Linked DNA regions of Caenorhabditis elegans. The protein of the gene in region 1 interacts with the protein of each later gene in a pairwise test. Each region holds a gene or a part of one and is shown on either strand. Other genes may lie near its edges.

What was found.
Region 2: the proteins of atf-4 (region 1) and nhr-138 interact in a two-hybrid assay, tested with the Caenorhabditis elegans proteins (one large-scale study listed by BioGRID).
Region 3: the proteins of atf-4 (region 1) and aha-1 interact in a two-hybrid assay, tested with the Caenorhabditis elegans proteins (one large-scale study listed by BioGRID).
Region 4: the proteins of atf-4 (region 1) and nhr-105 interact in a two-hybrid assay, tested with the Caenorhabditis elegans proteins (one large-scale study listed by BioGRID).

What each region holds. Positions count from the first base shown.
Region 1 is NC_003284.9:14,808,614-14,812,600, forward strand, and holds atf-4 (Transcription factor atf-4 homolog), read right to left. Parts: upstream 2,051-3,987; 5' UTR 1,993-2,050; coding exon of another isoform or gene 1,969-1,992; 5' UTR 1,929-1,968; coding exon 1,656-1,928; intron 1,132-1,655; coding exon 856-1,131; intron 812-855; coding exon 734-811; 3' UTR 543-733; downstream 1-542. Other genes in the region: T04C10.11 (uncharacterized protein), read right to left, coding at 1,969-1,992, 2,051-2,191; T04C10.3 (Coiled-coil domain-containing protein 96), read left to right, coding at 3,748-3,897, 3,945-3,987. UniProt on the Caenorhabditis elegans protein: Transcription factor.
Region 2 is NC_003282.8:9,723,666-9,729,111, reverse strand, and holds nhr-138 (Nuclear Hormone Receptor family), read right to left. Parts: upstream 3,862-5,446; 5' UTR 3,833-3,861; coding exon of another isoform or gene 3,794-3,832; 5' UTR 3,789-3,793; intron 3,728-3,788; 5' UTR 3,664-3,727; coding exon 3,630-3,663; intron 3,581-3,629; exon of another isoform or gene 3,354-3,580; intron 3,211-3,353; coding exon 3,120-3,210; intron 2,999-3,119; coding exon 2,874-2,998; intron 2,674-2,873; coding exon 2,498-2,673; intron 2,076-2,497; coding exon 1,944-2,075; intron 1,839-1,943; coding exon 1,728-1,838; intron 1,676-1,727; coding exon 1,509-1,675; intron 1,416-1,508; coding exon 1,291-1,415; intron 1,244-1,290; coding exon 1,089-1,243; intron 841-1,088; coding exon 724-840; 3' UTR 536-723; downstream 1-535. Other genes in the region: Nuclear hormone receptor family member nhr-100, read right to left, coding at 1-52, 101-225, 276-427.
Region 3 is NC_003279.8:10,193,424-10,198,664, forward strand, and holds aha-1 (Aryl hydrocarbon receptor nuclear translocator homolog), read right to left. Parts: upstream 3,575-5,241; 5' UTR 3,568-3,574; coding exon 3,524-3,567; intron 3,361-3,523; coding exon 3,252-3,360; intron 2,808-3,251; coding exon 2,496-2,807; intron 2,445-2,495; coding exon 2,327-2,444; intron 2,043-2,326; coding exon 1,801-2,042; intron 1,758-1,800; coding exon 1,549-1,757; intron 1,064-1,548; coding exon 736-1,063; 3' UTR 502-735; downstream 1-501. Other genes in the region: mrpl-34 (Large ribosomal subunit protein mL43), read left to right, coding at 1-38, 134-483; C25A1.15 (Transposase), read left to right, coding at 3,898-4,173; Y106G6E.1 (Protein kinase domain-containing protein), read right to left, coding at 4,863-4,988, 5,037-5,153. UniProt on the Caenorhabditis elegans protein: Transcription factor. Efficient DNA binding requires dimerization with another bHLH protein, such as cky-1 or ahr-1. Regulates transcription of target genes, probably acting in complex with cky-1. Has a role in cellular differentiation.
Region 4 is NC_003282.8:7,048,307-7,053,974, forward strand, and holds nhr-105 (Nuclear Hormone Receptor family), read left to right. Parts: upstream 1-1,849; 5' UTR 1,850-1,856; coding exon 1,857-1,917; intron 1,918-2,403; exon of another isoform or gene 2,404-2,424; intron 2,425-2,629; coding exon 2,630-2,824; intron 2,825-2,875; coding exon 2,876-2,947; intron 2,948-3,150; exon of another isoform or gene 3,151-3,171; intron 3,172-3,242; coding exon 3,243-3,343; intron 3,344-3,421; coding exon 3,422-3,565; intron 3,566-3,646; coding exon 3,647-3,772; intron 3,773-3,819; coding exon 3,820-3,908; intron 3,909-3,955; coding exon 3,956-4,161; intron 4,162-4,225; exon of another isoform or gene 4,226-4,246; intron 4,247-4,712; coding exon 4,713-4,870; intron 4,871-4,921; coding exon 4,922-5,059; 3' UTR 5,060-5,144; downstream 5,145-5,668.

The DNA.
Region 1 (3,987 bases):
ATTGAAGTTTGACTTACCGTTTCCGCGCCATTTCGATGCTCCGGAAAAATTTCGATGCTGAAAACTTTGAGGCGGAAAAAGTTTGTCGTGGCAAAATATCGTCGCGGAAAATTTCGCTGCGGAAAATTTTTTTTTTTCAATTTAGTTGCGGTACATTTTCGGAGCATAAATAATTTTGAAAAACGTATATTTTTGGATGAAACCAATATTTTTTAAAAGCGTACATTTTCGGATGAAATAAATATTTTTGAATTTTCTAAACACTTTCCTATCTAAAAGAGTCTGATCCACTCGAAAAGTTTCACTAACCAAATTTCAAATTGACTTGTCCGATTCCCCCCGATATACTTTTGTTTTTCCACTCACTCCTAATTGTTTTTAGCTAAAATATGAGTTTGTCGCCAGTGTTGGAATAATGACGTGCGCTTCAAGTTCACTAGTAGTCATGATGACAAAATAAATGAAAAATGATGACAAAACAAGAAGCTACAATTTGACTACAACCAACTATAAGTGTTGGTGATAAGTTATAGATCTATCGGTTTCAGATACTTTTTTATTTGAAGAGTAAGGTTAATATCATGCAAACGAACAGAATAATACCATTGGCGTATGAAATTTTAAAAAATCCACAATTCGTACAATATAAGGGAAGGATGAAGTTTAGAAAATATTAATAATAATAAAATGAGTTGAACTTTCAAACGGAGTAAAAAACATTAAAAATTGAGGTTTAGTCGGTGACAGTTTTCATTCCCATCTCGGTCATGAACTTTTTGAAGTAACGAATTTCACGCTCCAACTCGGATACCTGGAAAAAAAGCTAATCCTCAAAATTCTTCATAATTTACAAACCTGATCCTTCAGCTTGCCATTGGTGACACTAAGACCTTCAATGCAAGTCATAGCCTCTTCCTTTTCACGACGCTTCTTTTCACGGTATCTGGTAGCTGCGAGACGGTTTTGAGCCTTCTTTCGTTCCTTCTTTTCTGGGGTTTTGTATGGGTGGTAAGATTTTTCGGATTGAGAGTCATGTTCATCTGAAGACCAATTTGAGGCTGGAGACGCGCTCGAGTTGGAACGACGCTCGATTTCTTCGCACTCGCGCACGATTTCTTCGAGAATTTGTTCCTGAAATAACATTTTTGTGAGTTTTTCATATGTTTAGATGTAAAATTCCGGATATACCGAATTGTTTTTTTAAAGTTTCAGTCAAATTTCAAAAGACTTCCAGAGGATTGCAACTCAAAAACTTCTGCAAAAGCAGATAATTGTAACCCCTAAAGTTAAAAAGCTAGGAGGTTGTTTTATTTGAATTTTACCCCTTTCAAAGTCAAATGTTCATTATTCAATGTTACTTTACCAGAAGCAACGTATCGGTTTCATTTACTAAAATATTTGCATTCGTTGACACCAAAAGCATACACAACATTTCCTCTTCCTTATAGCTTTGAATCACATGAATTTCACGTGAAACCACCGTTGCTTCTCAACCTAACTATATTTCCTTAACATAGTCTTCCCGCAGATCATTTTTGATCTCTCAACCCGATTGGTTCTCCGTTATCAAGTAGACAGACAGTTTCCATGTCAGAATTTTCGTGCAATTGTTTTTGTGAAATTTCCTGAGCGCAATTTCTGAACTATCAACTCACTTTTGCTTGTACATTAGTCTCCATTGGCTCAATTGAGCAAAACGGATCTGGTGGAACCGAAGTGCTTTGTGGAACCATTTGGAAGTTGACATCGGAGTTCAAATGATGCTGTTGATAAGATTGATGGGAGTAGGGGTTGAAATATGATTGAGGATATGTCGGAGATTGATGGTGATGATGATGATGGTTATGATATTGTGGGGTGGAATGGGTTTGATTGTGCATCCCATTATAAAGCAAGAACTGTGGATTTTGTTCATTTACATAAGCCATTTGTTGGTAATCATTTTGTCCGTATGCATGACCCGTAGGCTCAACAAACACAGCACGTGATTTCCTGGAAAGGATCATTGTTTAAACTAATTATTAATCAATTAAAAGTTAAATGAACTTACTGTACAAATTGGCGCTGTGGCGGAAGGAGCGTTCGCGATGACGTAAGATTGGTATTGAGACGGTTCGGTGCTATAGTTCATGTTGAAGTTCATAATTTTCAGATGAGATGTTTCTGCGAGAAAGTGGCTGTATGTGTCCAGTGATGTGTTGATTGTGAAATGACAGAAGAGGAAAGGGAGACGACTAGCGCTTGGTGTAGTTTGGCTGCCCCCAATCTTTTCCACCTCCGGCGTTTGCTCGATATTTTTTGTATGTTCTCTGATCGCACCCGTTTCTTATACTATTTCTCTTAGTTTATCAGGGCTGTCGCGTGCTATCTGCATCTCTCGCGGTCTCGTACGTCATCAATCGATGTGGATTAGTGGAGGAAATTCAAATATCAAAGACGTTAAGCTGATCTTTGGATTGAAAAAAGTTTCAGATTAATTTTTAATAAAATGTGTAAGTAATTCAAAAAGCTCCCAGAGTGTTTTCTTACAGTTAGGTATAATTAAGGTAGGGCTTCTCTAAACTTTCTTATCTAAATTTCCCGATATTCGCTATTTCGGATATCGGTTATTTTAGATTTTTAGCGACAGATAGCTCAGTCGGTAGTGGTCGCCGCTAACAATCTGGAGATCACGAGTTGAAGTTCAAGACCCCCTAGGTTTAACCAGCCTCTATTGGAGAGTGGAGCAATCCACTACAGGATTATCGGCCACAGTCCCAGGCTAGGATGTGGCTTAAATTATAGCCCAGTGAGATCACCACCAGTCAGTTTACCTGAATCCCAGTTCCGCAGAGCATAGCACTTGAAGAACGGATCGTCTTTTAATCCTTTAATCCTTTAGTTCGCTGTTTCGAATAAAATAATTTTTTTGAATCGGATATTTTTCGGACAATTTGGATATTTCGGATATTTTTCTTCAAATTTGTGTTATTTTTCTGTTTCAACTAATTTTTATTGAAAAATGAACAGTTTATTGAAAACCGACAACAAAAACATCAGAAAAAACTGTTTAAACAAAACAACATGTTAGAAATTAAAGAAAATAAATCAATAATTTCAGTCAACCAAGTAGCCTTCTGGCTCATCAATAGTATTCATTAGACGAATATTTTTGCTCAAAAATAGGAGCATTTTAAATTCTCAGGTGACAAAGCTTTTCGGTATTTAGTAAGACTCGTGTCGGCTGTTGAACACAGTTTCTCAGCTTCACTTGAGCCAGTTGGACAGATGATAAAGCGTCGAGCAAATTTGGAGAGGCGTGGATATGATGATTTGGTCACAGAATTTACCCAAAAATCTCTCGGACTGATAGTTTCTACTGCAGTGGAGAGATAACGTGTCACCTCCATCTTCACGGTAAAACTTTCGTCAGTTAACGATAGGTGCTCTCCACGAGGCTTGATCTTTTTCTGAAATATGTTTCAACTAAAAATTCTAGTCCGAAACGTTATTCACCTTAATGTGCAGTCAAAGTTGTCCGAGATTTTTTGAATTTTTGAATTAGGTTCATTGAGATGCAAAGAGTCGTCAAGAGCAGTGTTTGCAGATTTCTCCACGTCTTCAGTATGGCTCTGCGTCTTCTTCTTCAATCACCTTAAATAAACTCCAAAATTCAACAAAATTTTGCGTATTTGGATCAAACTCGTTTTTGTTAGAAATTTCAACTTGAGAATTTCATTCCACCCGACTGAACTTCCGTTATAAATCATGCCGTGCTTGAACAGCATGCTCAAAATCTCAACAACTTTTCATGCCTCACTTAAACTGCCAGAAACTTTTCATTGCTGCTTTTTCTTAATATTTATAATGATTGAAAACTCATATGAAGACTGTTTTTCAAAGGTGAAAGTACCAGACGTTAGTTGCAAAGATTTTAAAGTGTCTTTTTGAAAATTCTTTTACAGCGAGTTGAAGCGTTGATTTTAAGAGTTCTGGATGGTCAATCTA
Region 2 (5,446 bases), on another chromosome or scaffold:
ACATCTCCATCAATTTCTGTTTTGATTTTTCTTGTCCTCTCACTTCGAACAGCTGAAATATAAACTATCAAACGGGATTCTATTTTGTACCATATGATACCATTAGCATCCATTCCAACATGTAGACATCTTTTCAAACGGCATGCTCTGCACCGATTACGGTATTTGAACTCAATAATACACTCATTATTGAAACTGCATTTATAGGTTCGTTTCTCCCAAATGCTGGAAAATTATTGATTTAGAAAAAAAAACAAAAAGAAAATAAAACTAACCTTCTTCTAAAAAATCCTTTGCATCCATTACACGACATTGCGCCATAATGTCGTTTTCCATGTGGATCTCCACAGACAAGACATGACGTGTCACTAACTGGTGATGGATTCCTCCATTGTATTTTTGAGACCGAATTAAAAGGGATATTCATATTTCTGAACTGAATAAGCACTTATTTGAAAGTTGTGAAATTTGCAATAAATAGAAATTCGTACTGGAAGTATTGCCAGGTTAAAATTTAAAAAAAACATAATAATTTCAAATGTAAAGAAATCTATTATTAACATTGATGTTCTTGGAAATTTACACTGTTTGAGGGGAATTAGACACCGAATTTCACATGGGAGGGAGATAGTTACAGAGGTAGGGAATATATCACAGAGAGAAAAGAAATGAGATCGCAAAGTGAGATTCCTAATAGTTTTCATATCAAAAACAAACTATTTTCTAAGAAAAATCGTCTTGCCGCAGAGCTGAATGTACTTCATATGGCAGACCAACCAAGTCAGCCATATCGAAAATGGCGAGAAATGTGACGTTGTCATCCTCTTGACGAGCGAGGCTCTGGAAACGAATGTATGTTTGGTAAAAAAAAACTGTTTTTTATTACAATACTTTTATATTGACTTGGCGTTTCCTAACTTCACCCTAAACATATATAATTGGTTTTTAACTCATTAATACTCTTGCCAATCCAAGTTAAAATGACATAGAAAAGTTTGGTAAGTTTTGAATCAAACTTGGGCAAAACCTGGATGCGGATTTTTTATTCAGTTGTATTTCAATCGGCAAAACAATAATATTACTGTTACCTGTACAGAAGTAAGCATAATCATGAGAGTTGCCATCCGTTCCATTGCCTTCAATTCTGATGTTTCTCTGCTCAAAACATACTCGGACAGAGCTTTTGTGAAAACATCTCCAGTTAACTGGAGAAGTTTATTGGCGTCACTAGAGAGACGATAATCTAGAAATAGTTCAATGTAAATTTTAAAATTGTGAAAGTTAGCTAACCTGGTCTAAATAGTGTAATAGCGAGCATACATGAAAATTCTTCTTCTGTCATATTGATCCCTTTCATTCTATAAACTAGGCCATGGATCATAGTATCCGCAATTTTTGAGTAATAATCGTTGCACCTGAAAAGTTTTAACAAAATTATTGTTTGTCGATTATTTTCGAAATTGATTCTCAGACAATCTAGTTGAACATGAACTTGGAAAAAAACTAACGGTTTATCCATGAATGCTTGCTTTTCTTTATCAAGTGGATACCAAGCATCATTTGTAAATGTAACTCCATCGATATTATTCTGATATGAATGCCATGCATACAGATTCCAAGATACTGGGGCAAATCGAAGCTTGAATAGTTGCTCCCTGTCCAAGTAATTCAGTCTCTGTAACAGAACACATAAAATTGTTTAAAAATTCAATAAGCGTGATACAAACCTCCAACTCTTCAAATGAGCTCAAGTAATCGTGAAACCAAACAAATGTTCGACACCAAGTCACTTTCAAATCGTGAATGTCTGCCAAACGACTCGTATTTCCCCATTCAAGCTGAAAATCGTTGTTTTAAATTTCTAAACAAATTTATATACAAATCTAATAATTTGTAAAATTCTAAATTTTGATATTCCAGTGCCATACGATTTATTTACTAACCTTTGTCCTCGTTGCCACTTTTTCCGGGTTTTCAAGTGCAGATTGCAATGAGATTCGGACATTACACATTGATCCAAATCGGGCCACCAAGTCATCAAATTCGGGGCAAAATGTGGTCTCTACTCGTCTTTGCTGAAAAATCAGACATTAGAAATGATATTTCGTGTATAGCGTTTGCCAATTCACATTGATCATTATTTAAATTTTTGAGTTGTGTGCACATAAAATAGGAAAAGATAGACTACTTAAAGGAGCTATTTTTATTGCAAACTACATATTTTATTTTTCATTCCCAATGCCCATGCCCACACACAGGACGAATTTCCCATGACACCTCGCTCCCATTCAAATTTGTTTAGGGAAACATTTTTTAGAATAAGCCCATTTCGATTCAACAAACATTTTTTTCTCAAATATTTACTTTACGATTATCTATTTTATTTGATTACTAAAATATTTCTGTGTCTAATTTACCAATAATGAACCCATTGGACAGTCGACCTTTTTGAATTCAAAGAGGAATAATTTTGGTAAATTCTTTTTAAATAACTTACAATATTGAATAGATGTTTAACAATTGGCGGGTGATCAACGTCGGGTGTTGAACTAGAACTTGGTTGGGAGCTCGTAACAGAATTCGATGTTTGTAGACTTGAACGTTTTCCTTTTAATGATCCTTTTGGTTTTTTTGCAGTTTCGTTTGGACGGATTTCTCTTTCAGATTGGACAGCTAAAATTACTACTTTAATTTATTATTTTAGATAAACCATAAATGTTCTCAGAAGATTAGTAATATTTCCGCAATTACGTATATACATAGCAGCGCACTTTTGTAACCGTGTACGCCTACCAAAAACCTAAATCTTAACTAACACCTTTTGAAATTTAACCTTTTATTAATAAAAATAGAAATCAAGAAAAAACATTTACCTCTGGCGTCCATGCCGACCATAACGCATTTGTTAAAACGACAAGCTCTGCATCGATTCCTGAATTGTTGCAAAACTTCGCAGTCTTCATTGGCAATACAGAAATATGTTCGCTTTTCCCAGACGCTGAAAATTGAAAATTGTTAAAATACCAAACAATGAACTCATTGGCTTGCGGTACGATAATTTTTGGATGCTTTATTCTTTTGAAGCTGGGACTTTCCAGCAATTAATATAAAGCGCTCACCTTCTTCTGAAGAAACCTTTACATCCATTACATGCCACTGTTCCATAATGTCGACTAGCTTTGTCATCACCACAAACGAGACATCGTCGATCTGACGGAGCAGTATTGGAATTTCGAATCATAATTTTTTTTTGTTGAAATATAAATTTTTGGTGATAAGCTTATGACTGATTTAAAGTACTAGTCAGCTACTCTCAACACGAAAGTAAATGACTCAAATGTGAGAGAGAGAGTGAGAGAGCAGGTAGACGTAAGTAAGTAGAAACGAAAAGGAAATGAGGGGGTTGACAAGAAGGAGCTTATTCGTAGAATACGCTTTCGTTGTCTCATGCCTCTTTTTCTGATAAGTGGATGTATCAAAGTTAGAGTAAACTACATAGATCAGAACTTTTTTCGGTATGAACTTTAAGAAATTCTATATATTGTGACGGGGGATACCTTTAGTCAGAAGCACTCATTAGAAGGGTGAGAGCGTCTTATTATTATTTTTAGAATATCAACAAATCTCACTATTGTCGTTTAGTACTCGAGGATGAGGAGACATTGAGAATATATGTGTTTGTGGACCCGAGAAGCACGTAATCACAGTCAATGAATTTGATTATATCCTGAAAATATTTGTTAAATTATTAGAAAATTCAATTTTGTTTTTATTTTAATTTCACACACCTTTTTTAAAATGAGAAGTCAATAATTACCAAAATAGTCTGCATAGGTTAGAGTTGATCGACGGTAAATGTATCTGAAAAGTTCAGACGTTTAGAAACAGTGAAACCAATAAAAAAAAACCAGAATATTTAAGAAAAAAATGGACGAAAATTGATAAAACGACAGACATTGGATATGATACTACAAAATTCCTAGTCTTCAAATTCACATAAGAAGATAGAATTTTGGAGCTGAATAACAAATATGAAATCATATAAATCAGAACTCAAAAAAGAGATCGCTGAAACAGAGTATCATTAGAAGTTTAAGACAGTTTAGGGTCAGCTTTCTGTTTTATTCTTGAAAATGAATTTATCGTTTACTGGAACTTGATAAAGCGTATATATTTTTGAAACTAAAAACACTAACAACGCTTGCTGCTTACTTAATATCTTACACGGAATTGATCACTCACTGATTTAGGAACTCACTGAATAGCAAATAGAAAAGCTTTCAAAAAATGAATTTAAAATGCCTACTTCGCTTCGTTATATACCAACACATGCCTGCTTCTTTGTGCATACCGTACCCCTAAACCACACCTAGAAACCGTACCGGCGCCCACGGTGCCACGCAAGAAACAATAGAAAAGCAACAAAACACAAAACCTTCCGGTTTTTATCTCAACGAAGCAAAATGTTGCAACGAAGTTTAACGCAATGAAATCCTCATATCAAAATATGAGAGATAGTACGGATATAGGTGAGAGTTAGAGACAAAGGGAAACAACCGAGACGACGCCAGCCGGCTCTGGCGCCAACCATGGTGGCCCCAGATATTGGGTGGACTGTACGTCACAAAAGTCGAAAATCTCTGTCACGTTTGAATCTGTAGTTTGATTTGATATCTGACAGTCTTTTTCGGTTGCGACGTCACACATTTTCGGGGACAAGACATTGTTGGTAATGATGTTTCAAATCGTTGAAGTGACCCTTCAAAATCTTGACGTAGTCAGGATTGAAAGTTCACAGAATACTATGAAATTATTCAAACTTATTACTAAAACTATGACGCTTTAAACGGAAGTAAGGTATATTGGTGCAAAAATCACATTAATGTTTCACCAACAGTTAATATTGTTTTAAAAGCTATGATTACGTTTTTATCTACTTTCTATATTTTATTTACTTCCTATGTTTTCATTATATTTTTAACTGGAAAAATTGGCTAACTTATAGTAAAAATGTTAGGAAATAAACCCGCAATATCGATTCAATCCAGCTAGTAAAGTTTTTAGCAGCTGAATCAACAAAACAATTAACAAAACTTTGTAGTTCGTCTATGTTTGGACCCAAATTATTTTCGAACTGTCGATCTTTTTTTGCTAACCATTACTGTGAATTTGTGACAAAAACAATGAACAGAGATTAAAAGTGACGCGTAAAACAGATAGTTCCATTAGATTCAAATAAATTTGAAACGGAGATCAAAAAAAGTTCGAAACATATTCAATGAGTGGGTGTCAAATAGAATGAGATTCTAAATAAATGTGTGCATAAAAAGAGGTGACAATGGTTTTTGATCGCAAAAAAAGGAAACGTGAGAACTTTGCTCTGAAATCAAATTGATACCTTTCTCGTAGCAGGTGTAATATTTATTAAACTTATGTCCGACATATC
Region 3 (5,241 bases), on another chromosome or scaffold:
AGTTCGCAATTTTATTGAGAATCAACTCGTTGAAATCGGTAAGAATTTCTGTCTACGATCAAAAAATTAATAGAGAATCTAAATTAAAAGCTTCATTTTTTTTTAAATAAAGAAGGAAATCCGTTTTTTTCAGGCCGTAAAAACCCATCAGTTGTGATCTATGCCCAGCCTGTGCGAAACTCGAACCCATCAATCCGCGCAGAATATGGAAATGGTCGGACTCTACAGATCAATGCAAAAAACATGACACAAGACGAAGTGAGCAAAGATGTGCATTTGTTATTCTCAAGAAGCGGCGAACCAGTTGTGAAGCTAGAGAGTCGTCAAAGTGCATTGGTTCCTTCTATTCAAGGTCAATGGACACCGATAACATGGCTTCCAACAGAAATGAACACGGAACAACTTCCAGCGAAACAGTTCTCAAAGCACAAGTCAACGGCAACGTCGGCGACGGAATATATTCTTCAAAATCCACCAAAATAAGCAATAATCCGTTATTTTATAGTTGTTTTCATTTATTCGTTGTTTTCTTTTGATTTTTTGACAATATTATTAGTAATAAAATTTAGTGTTCAGAATGAGTTGAATAACTCGTTGGTCCAGAAAAAAGGAAAAATACTGAACAGAAAAGTTAAGGAAATTGAAAAAAAAAGAAAACTTTTCAAGAAGTAGATAGAAATGAGAATCATTGGAATAGGCTTCAAAAAAAAATATATCAATTTCTAGAAATTATAATCACTGGTTATATCCATTCATCGGGTCCCATTGCCATTGTGCCTGTGGTGCTCCTTGAGCTTCAGGTCTCCATCCTCCACTACTCGATTGTCCGTAATCCACAGCACTTGGAGCACCGCCGAGCTCTCCAAATTCACTGGCTTGAGGTTGAGGAACAGTTGGTGCAGTGACCCAATTATTAATATCTTCTTGTGGAGCAATTTGATGTGTTGCAACCACGTATTCGAACTGTTCCGAGTATGGATTCATGAATTTGTATGCAGACACAGTACATGGAATGTAATCAGTACTGGTACGTACTCGAATATTTATTCTCATTGGTTGGTCACTGAAATGGAAATGTTTTTATTTAGTTAACATGGAATCTACTGCTATAGGTTTAAAGGAAAGTACATTTTTCGAAATGGTCCCGCCACGAATATTATTCGTGAAAAATTCGCCTGAAAATATTCCCTAGAACCGCGAAAATTACGATTAAAAAACTACGGTACCTGGTCTCGACAAGACAAATGTTTGTTTAATGAAAAAGGTTTGAGCCTTTAAAAAGTACGGTAATTTTAATGTTTCTACTCAATTCTCTTTGGTTTTTCATAGTTTTTTTGATAAAGGTATATTTATTTGTTTAAAAACTCACATAAGACAACATGTATTTTTACAAATAGTGAGAAAAACTATGAAAAATCGACGAAAATTCTACAGAGTAGAAAGTTTGAAATTGCAGTACTCTTTAAAACCGCACACACTCTTGAAAGCAGGTAATATGAAATTTGATGGACGCAAATTGTTCAAAAAGGTTTTTTTACGAAAACTTACCTTAAAAGAGCCACAAATGAGTCTTGAAGGGTCTTCTCATCTGCTGGATGTGCAAGATTCCACCAATATCTTCCGATAAGTTGATCACTGCTCAAACCAATTAAATCACTAACCCTCGCATCAATAAATGTCATTTTTCCATCTTCCGAAACACGAACCGAAAATTGATTTGTTGATGTTGGATCAGCACAGACCGGCATTGATGCTACCTTTAATTAAATCACGTTTATCTGCATCGTAAACTATTCTAACCTGTAACCTGGCAATTGCCACCAAACAAGATGAAGCTGGAGCATTAATTCCCTGTGGTGGAGCATTTTTGATATATCCTGTGCAATGCATCACAACGTAATTTTGACCAGCATGTTGGAATAAGGGACGGCGATTTCTGAGACGATGAAGTGGTTCAAGGGCTCCGACACGCATTCGACAGATGAATCCACGACGACATGACATATGAACTCGTGTTGATGCTCCTTCGCGTTTCACTGATCCTAAAATTCAATGATTTTGATAGTTAACTTGAAGTGGGTTACTGTACTTTTAAAGATACACACATTTTAAGAGCGAGCAGATACCTTTTTGACGGAAAATCACAAATTTTGGGCATGCCAAAATCTAGTGAAATTACAATAGATGCTTTTAAAACAAATACTACTTAATTCGATTGACTGAAGTAAGTGGTTATTACTGTAAACGGTTCCAAGTTATATGACTACTTTGGAAAAAATTCAAAAAATCCTTGAATCTCTCCTCTTCTCTTTTTATGATAACTCACCAGATTTCAAATCGAGAACTTTATTAACTGATACTTCACTTCCACACAATTGATCTCTAATTTTATCTTGATCATCTGGATGTATGAGTTCATTCAAATTTCTTTGAAGCCAATCTTCCTAAAAATTAATATTTATATTTCAATAATGAAAGATTCAAATCTTGCTCACCTGCTTCAAATTAAGTACGGGAGTAATTGAATCAGCAACATATAACACTTTTCCAGTCTGACAACAAACAACAAAAAGAAATCCATTCGCTGCTTCTAGAATCAAATGTTTCAATTCTTGATCCGTAAGAAATGATGGTTTATATGAAGTTTCATCTTGTGCCGTATGTCCTCGAATTCCTTTCATGTGTGATACTGCCATTCGGAGAATCGTTAGTTTATCGGGTTTACGTCCAAGTGATGCACATTGTGGAACCATTTCGGCTAATTCATTTATGTAATGAGTCATTTTGTTACGGCGACGTCGCTCAATCTAAAACGTTTTCAGTTGAATTTGAAGCAAGAAATTTTACTTTTTCCATATTGAATTTTGATTTCAGAAATTTCAACCAAAGGGTTGGTAAATTGCCAAATTTTTAAACTTTTAGTTTTTAGTTTAATACTTGCAGAAAGAAAGATTTTTCGGTCGGCTTCCGAATTCATGATATGTGAAACTCTAAAATTGTGCCTATTTGAATTTTAATTATACAGTTTGAAATAATTTTTTAAAAAGTTCTCTATGACTCGATAATTTTAGCACCATATGTAGAAATTTTTAAAAAATTTAAAATCGCTGGAAATTTAATTTTGAGTTGTGTTACGTCCCATGAAAATTGCAGTTTTACAGGTCAAACAATACCCAGAGTATCGTACTTTTTATTTGAATTAATGAAACATAGCAGTATAAATTTTCAGATATAAATGTTCAAAACCTCACCTCTGAATGATTTTCCCTTGCAAATCTTTCCTTATTCTCTCCCATTTCATCTTCCATTCGAGCATATTTTCCAGATGGCATGCCCATATCTTCATCTTCCATTGCGAAGCTGAAATTATTTAAAATTTAAAATATAAGTTTAGAAGTATCCAAAAATAACCAGCAATAAGCATATCTGAATAGTTGTATTGCATAGAAAACCAATTTTAATCAACACATTTTTTGCAATAAAAAGCCATAACTTAAGCTAATAATGTCACACTATGCCTTACCTCGTCGCCGATTGCCATGGATCCATAAATATATCCTGAGCCATTCTGAAAACTATAAAGAAAAGTTTTTTTCTGTCGAAAAGAAGAATTGAAAGACACCAAAACAAATTATAGGCAATTGAATATATTAGGTGAAGAATTTAAAAAATTGAATTTTAAAACAAGTTGTGCAATGGATCGAGAGTAAATCAATTAATTATGTAAATCGTCGCTTCCTTGCCCGATGAGAGAGAAAGTATGGAAAATCTAGAGTAAGATGCGTCAGAGAATACTCTCCATTGTAGACACAATGTCTTTAAACACGCGATACGTATGTCTGAGTCTCCATTTTTCATATACTCTCACCAATCAATATTTCTTTAGGATGATGGGGGATGGGAAAGGAATGGTGTGAGAGAGAGGGGCGTGCGCGCTTTTTCTATTTGTCCAGTACCTCGTCACCAAACACCGTTGAGGACCGTATTATTACTATGAAGAGAGAAAGAAATGAAAAGAAATTGAGAGTGACCCCCCTACATATGGTCACTGGATATTTGAGAGAAGAAGCAACAGATGGAATTAGAGGGGAGAGACTTTTTAAGGATGATGAAGGAGGAAACGGAAAAAAATTAGAAGATGATGGATGGATGATAGGGCATATAAAAATGTGATAGTGATAATGCAAGAAAATAAGTGAAATAATGCACGCATTTATAGTGTGACCAGTATTTGAAAGTTGAATGACCACAATTGATTGATCAAATTTTTTTAACTTTCACACTCTCAATTAAAATCATTTTTTATTTGAAAGAAAACCTTTTGCATAGGCCCCTATAAAACATTCTGCTACATGCCTCGCACTTTGAACTAAAAAATATCGACCTGAAAACTGTTCCTTGGATGTTTCCAACTTTCGAGTTTTGTGAAATTGTTCCAAAAGTGTAGTTTTTTATCAAGTTAAAGTTTTCTTTCTAAAAAAACACACATAATTCAAGCTTTCAGAATGTTTGTTTCAGATCGACTTTTCCACTCGGCCTTTTGTAGATTTAGAATGCACTAGAGTTTGGCATAAGTTTGATTTTATTCATGTCAAACTTTGACCCAAACCTTTCTTGTATTGTTTTAAACTGTTGAAAAAAATATTGTCGCTGCCAAATTCTGGCAAAAAGTTGGTGTACAATGCCAAGCAGTCCAAGGCGCTCTTCGCCAGAGGAGCCATAGGACGAAACTCCATATTCAAATTAGTTATGCTTCTAAAAAGACAGATATAGTGACATATATTTCAATTTGGAGACCCCATTCAGAACTGTTCATATATTACAAAATTGATAATCTAAATATCAGTGCTCTTTTCTCGAATTCAACTCGTCTGCTCAACCGATTCATTCGTCAAAGTTGTATCTCCAGATTTCACGGATTGTAAGTCGACTGCAGAAAGACACAAAATCTTCTTTTTATTGAATCTCACCGTTTTCTCGTTGAATAACTAAAATCATTATGTTAGGTGACAATCATAAGGTTCAGATAAACTTACCACATTAAAGTACGGATGAGTGAGAATCTCAATTCCAGAGAGACGCTTGTTCGGATTGTAGACAAGGATTTGAAGAAGAACTGCTACTGACTCTTTCATGTCATCTTGCTCAATTTTCTGAAAAACAACTCTCTGGAGGTTTTCTTAAAGCTTTTTGCCTGAAACCGATTTGATTCCACATGCGCCTTATCGTTTGGTGCCTACT
Region 4 (5,668 bases), on another chromosome or scaffold:
TATAGAGGAGGCTCTAAAATGCCTGGAAAAGTTTTTTTGTTCTAGAATCTTAAAAAATCTAGAATATTCTAGAATATTGGCTGACTTTTGTATCATAGTTCTAGAATCTTTAAAAAACACAACGTTTATTTTTGAAAAAAAAAATATTTCTTAGATTTTTTAAAAAATTTTCTACTGTTTCAAAATTTGATGAAAGGAAATTGCACATTAACGATTTTCAATTCGTCTATCTTAGATTCTTTTCAATTTAATTTCAATCAGTTTCAATTTCAAATTTAAATGCATTGAAAATATAATTTTAATTAAGTTAAGAAAAACAAATTCAATCCTGTAAGAGGATATTGGAGGAATTTATGCAAGCCTCACAATTTCAAATAAATACAGAATGTCATTTTACCAGAAACAAAAAGGGTTCATGAAATTTGAAAAATATTAGAAATTTATTACATTTTCTTTTAAAGTTCTTCAACAAAATTATTTGCTCTTTGTGCTGTCTACTAGAACATACAATACCACGTGTTTAGTGTTTGTCAAAAAAATTCGGGAGAAGACTACAAACTAAATGAACTTTTAAAACGTTCTGCTTATTATTGATTCCTTTTTTCCATATTCTCCCAACTTTTAGGGACTAAACTCGGATAAATAGTTTCGTTGTTTCTGTTTTTTTAAACTCCGAAACTTTGCTATAATCAGTGTTTCTGGAAGCTTCTTATCTAGTTGAATTGATGAATGATCTTTGTTTTTTATCTTTCAAACAGTTTGAGAAATAATGACACGTGATTGGACAATGATATAGATCGTCTATTTTCCATCTCCCCATCAGAAAGATTTCATACATTTACTCTCATTTCAAAAATAGATTTGAGTGTATTTTTGGCGATAAACTTTTATTTTCGACAAAACGAAAACTTCCGTGTTTTCAGACAACATTTGTGAAAATAGTTAATTAAGTTGTTCGTTTTTTGACTGTAATTAGCATGTCTACTTAAGTTCCCAAAAGATTTCCACAGAATTTTAGACTGAAAATGCATATCAAATTCTCTAATTTTTTTTGCTGTTTCAGTATAGGTTTATAAGTGGGGATGAAGTTGCGAGCTTAGTTAATGGTTTATTTTAGTGATAGTTTATTTATATAATATTTTGATTAAATTCATCAGCGATCAGGCAACTCTCCAAAATAAAATTATATTTGACCTTCCATGCGTACCTTCATGAAAATGCCCGAGATGTATTTATTCTCACGGCAAAGTAAATGGACGTACATAGGGACGTATTTATTCATTTTAATACCTGATTTGAAGTCTTTCTATTCGGTTTCGGGATACTCTAGTTCAATGTCAATCTATGATCTTCAACCTTTTTTCAATCGTGTTCAGTTTTCCCCACGTCATGGTATCAACCTGTTCCTCACCTCCTCCAATACCATTGATACTAGTTTTTTTCTCTCTTTAATTTCCATATCTATTTTGATCTGTTTCTTTATTTCTCTCCCACCTCTTTCACTACTGTTGTCTCTAATCATGACGTAACTGATTTCTATTTTCTCTTTTGATTTATCAGATGACAAGGTATTACATTAACACAAGAGAGTTCCAGACAGTAAGAGAAAAATGATTTTTAAAAGTGTACGACCCGCCCAGTTTTGGTGTTAAGGAGCTCAGAGAATGAGCAAAATATCAGTGATTCAGAACAGAAGTAAGATTTAGAGAGCCGTCTGATCTGTCGAATACGAGACTAGACTCTGCCCTTTGCAAGTACCGCCCACCTAAATCCTTTCACTATATCATTTCCTTGTTATTCATTCATTCTATCCAATTGTTCTATAAACGATGACATGCTGCATTTACAGACGACCTATGACATTCAGTGATCCAATGGATCCATCAATACCCATATTTCAACATCATGAGGAAGAAGGTTTGTTTTTAAACATTTACTTAAACATTTCTTTAAACATTTCAAATTTTAACATTTCAATTGTGAAAAGGTTTTAAAATGTGTTTTCATTTAGCAGCTTTATTGGAATAATTTTTAAAAGTAAAATATTAACTATAAGATTTTAGTTTTAATATTTAAATTATTACAAGATAGCTTTAATCTTTTTGCGTCAAGAGCTCACAAAGTACGTGAGAATATTAGATACAAAGTACGTGCCAAGGAAACTTTTCATGAAATTTTTCATGTGAAAATTATTATTTAAAACGTAATTTGGAAAATGGACCCGGAAGTTATCATAAGCTAAATATCAATTTTAAGAATGTGGGAATTTATTCAAGTTTCGAGATCAATTTTTGATTTTAAGAGAAGTAATACGATTTAATAACCTTGAAATTTCATTAAAAATTAAAATTTTCTGCTGTTTCACCACATGCATGTGCATAAGTTTTCAATGGTTTATGATACTTTGATAAATCGAAGTAAATCATATCGCTTCTTGTTTATACTTTAAACGAAAATTCTAGTTGTAAAGTCAATAGACAAAAATGAAAATTTATTTAAAAAAAAATTGTCAGTGAAAATATAAACATCTCTAACTTATATTAGATTTTTTAGATTAGTAAAATAGAAAAAGCATTATTCCGCAAAATTGTAAGCAGGCAATTTAAATAAAAATTTTTAAAAATTCCAGAAGCCGGTCCCAGCACAACAATAAAAGCGGAGGAGGAAGATGGTCCATGTTGCTTAGTTTGTGGCCGAGTTGCAAATACTGGACATCATTACGGAGTGACTGCTTGTCTTGGATGTAAGACATTCTTCAGAAGAGTCGTACTTCAGAAGAACTCACCCAAATGCAAATACAAGAATCACTGTCGATTGGAGAAAAGTATGTACAACACGTCAAGAAAGAAAAAATCAAATTGTAATATTTTTATAGGCGTAAACGCGAAGAGGTTATGCAGAAGCTGCAGATATCAAAAATGTCTGGAAGTTGGAATGACCGAAGATGGTAAGCTTGTTTAATTTATTAGTTCTTAATTTTTTGAATGTTGGAAGTTACTGTAGAAGGTATAAATGCGCTTTTCCATGTCTTCTTGGTTGCCCTAATTTCCCATCATTTTTAGTAAGTAAAGTAATCTGCAAAACACCAAATGCTATATACATTCTTAATAACATTTTTTGACTGAAAAAAAATTCGGCGTAACCACAGAAACCATAATTTTCTGTCTGAAATTATTCTGAATCAAATTTAATTTGAGCCTAATTTACACTGTGAAACAGAAATAATATTATACAATTTCCAGCCCTACATCCCTGCCGAGATGTGATTGGTCGTCGAGTTCGTAACAATTCAAGTGATTCTTCACCCATTTCAAGTCCTCCATCAATACCAACACCATTATCGGTAAGTCTCTTCCAGTCTTTTCCACCACTTCTCCCATTCTTCCCGTGTGTGACGACTTTCCGAGTGTGTACGTTGCAGATATGCAAACTGATGAATTTGAGCGAAGGAGACCACAAACTTTTGCAGACAATCACCGATATGGATACTGACATACGAACACGTACTGCTCATATTCTTGGAGAACCGGCGAACGGAAATGAACAGATCCATTTTTACAGTCCGGTTAGTTTTATTTTCCAAAAATTTGTTACTGTTTCTATATTATTTAAAAAGTGTTTATTATGTTGATTTGTAAATTTTCAGACCCCAGACTACACAAACGTAATAGTGAATCACGGTATAGGCCCTTCTCTGAAAGTTGATATATTACTACTCCGAGAATGGGTTGATCGAATTCCCGGATTTCGAGAACTCAGTGAACGCTTTCAGGTAGTTGTTTCTAAACAAATACTATTTAATCCAAAATTTATTTTCAGCAACATTTAATGCATCGATTCTGTTTGAGATATACTGTGATTGAACATGGCCTCTTTACAGCTCAAATGCCATATCATAAAAATGTTTGGTGAGTTTCCGTTAAAAAATCCTCCTAATAATATTTAAATAATTCAGGTTCCTCTCAGACCGAACATGCCTTGTCAGTGAATTCGAGAATCTTCCACAGGAAATAAAGAAGCATCTCACTCCGAAAGTAATAAACGAGCAACAATTATTGGCTTCATTCACAGAAATGCTCATTCACGAAGTAGCTGATCCTCTAAGAAGATTGAAACCTGATTCTGTTGAAGTTGCTACTGTGAAGACGTTAATGTTGTTGAGTAAGTGTAAATTTTGCTGTTTCAAATACAAAGTAAAGTTTTCATGATTTGTGATATCTTTCGATATGTCTATAGTAAATTGAGTTCATATTAGCAATTTTATCTAAAATGCGGATTTCGGAAATATCAATCCTATATTTTGAAATCCCAACAAAAAAAACTAATTTGGTAAATATTGAAAATCCGATTTTCAAAAAAAAAAAAACGAGAAATGCTTGAATTCCCTCCAAAATGAAAACTGCAAAAGCAATCAGCTATTTTCTCCACCTTATTTTCAACCAATCTGACAGAGTGCACAAAGTTTGAAATCGCTGATTGGTCAGGCAGTTCTCTCCATTTAAAGGATATTCGTACATGGCGACAGCTAAAAACCGCGTCTCAACAGTTTTTTTTGATTTTCATCCGTTATATTGCAACATATTGCCTCATGTTTTTTGAAATAAAATCCCACATTTTTGTAAGAAACTTTCAAAATTCTTTGTCAAATCTAGCTTAAGTTTGCGTGCCCAGTAAAATTATTAGGACTTCATGAACAGACTGTTTTTTTCCAGAACCAACTTGCCTTCGAGAAATTGATGGTGACTACCTTTCTACTGAAACTGATATCAAATCTGTGAACGATGTACGAAACCGTGTAATAAATGGACTCTACAGCCATTATATAAAAAACGGAATGGATCCAGAACAACTTCCAATCAGAGTTAGTGAGGTGAGTTTCGGAAAAGATTGGTTGTGGTAAATGAAAATATTTGTTTTATAGATTTTAAACCTAACTGGTGGAGTGGAGCAGTGTGCAGCTCGAGCCCTTGAGGAAATGCACCCTACTCGTGTATTCAACTTATCATCTTTTGATCCATACAGTTCTAATGTTATTTTTGGTTACTATAGAGATGTTTGAAACATTTTCTTTCTGACATATTATTACGCTATTCAATTGTGATGATTGTGATTATAGATTTACAAAAATAAACCTATTAATTTCGAGAAACGATTGTACAACCTCATAGTAATCAAATTCATTTTTGGAGCTTCCGTTTCCTGTAAGGGGGGCGAGAGGTGACGTCCCCCGATAACAACTATAAGTTCAATCATTTATTACTAGAAAATACAATAATTGATTAGAACTATAAATTGTATCTTCAGTTTTACATGGCAATCGATGATCCAGCAGATGTACCAGTGCTTGTATCATCACTCTTCTTACTCTTCTTTCCTTTCTTATCCTTCTTGTCCTTCTTTCCCTTCTTTCCCTTCTTTCCCTTCTTAACTTTCACTTTGCGAACCTTCGGAATATGCTTTGCACGAGCTTTGACAAGATATCTAACCAGACAAACATGAAGAATCAAGCAGAAAATTCCAAAGATCACTCCAAAAATAGCTCCAGCCAACATTGGCTGTGGAATCGATTTTCCATTAATGGTTGATCCTTGATCTTCAGGCGCATGTGGCGCGGTTGGGGCGGTAGTTGAATTCGACATCTGAAACTTTTTATGAGCATTTTAAATCT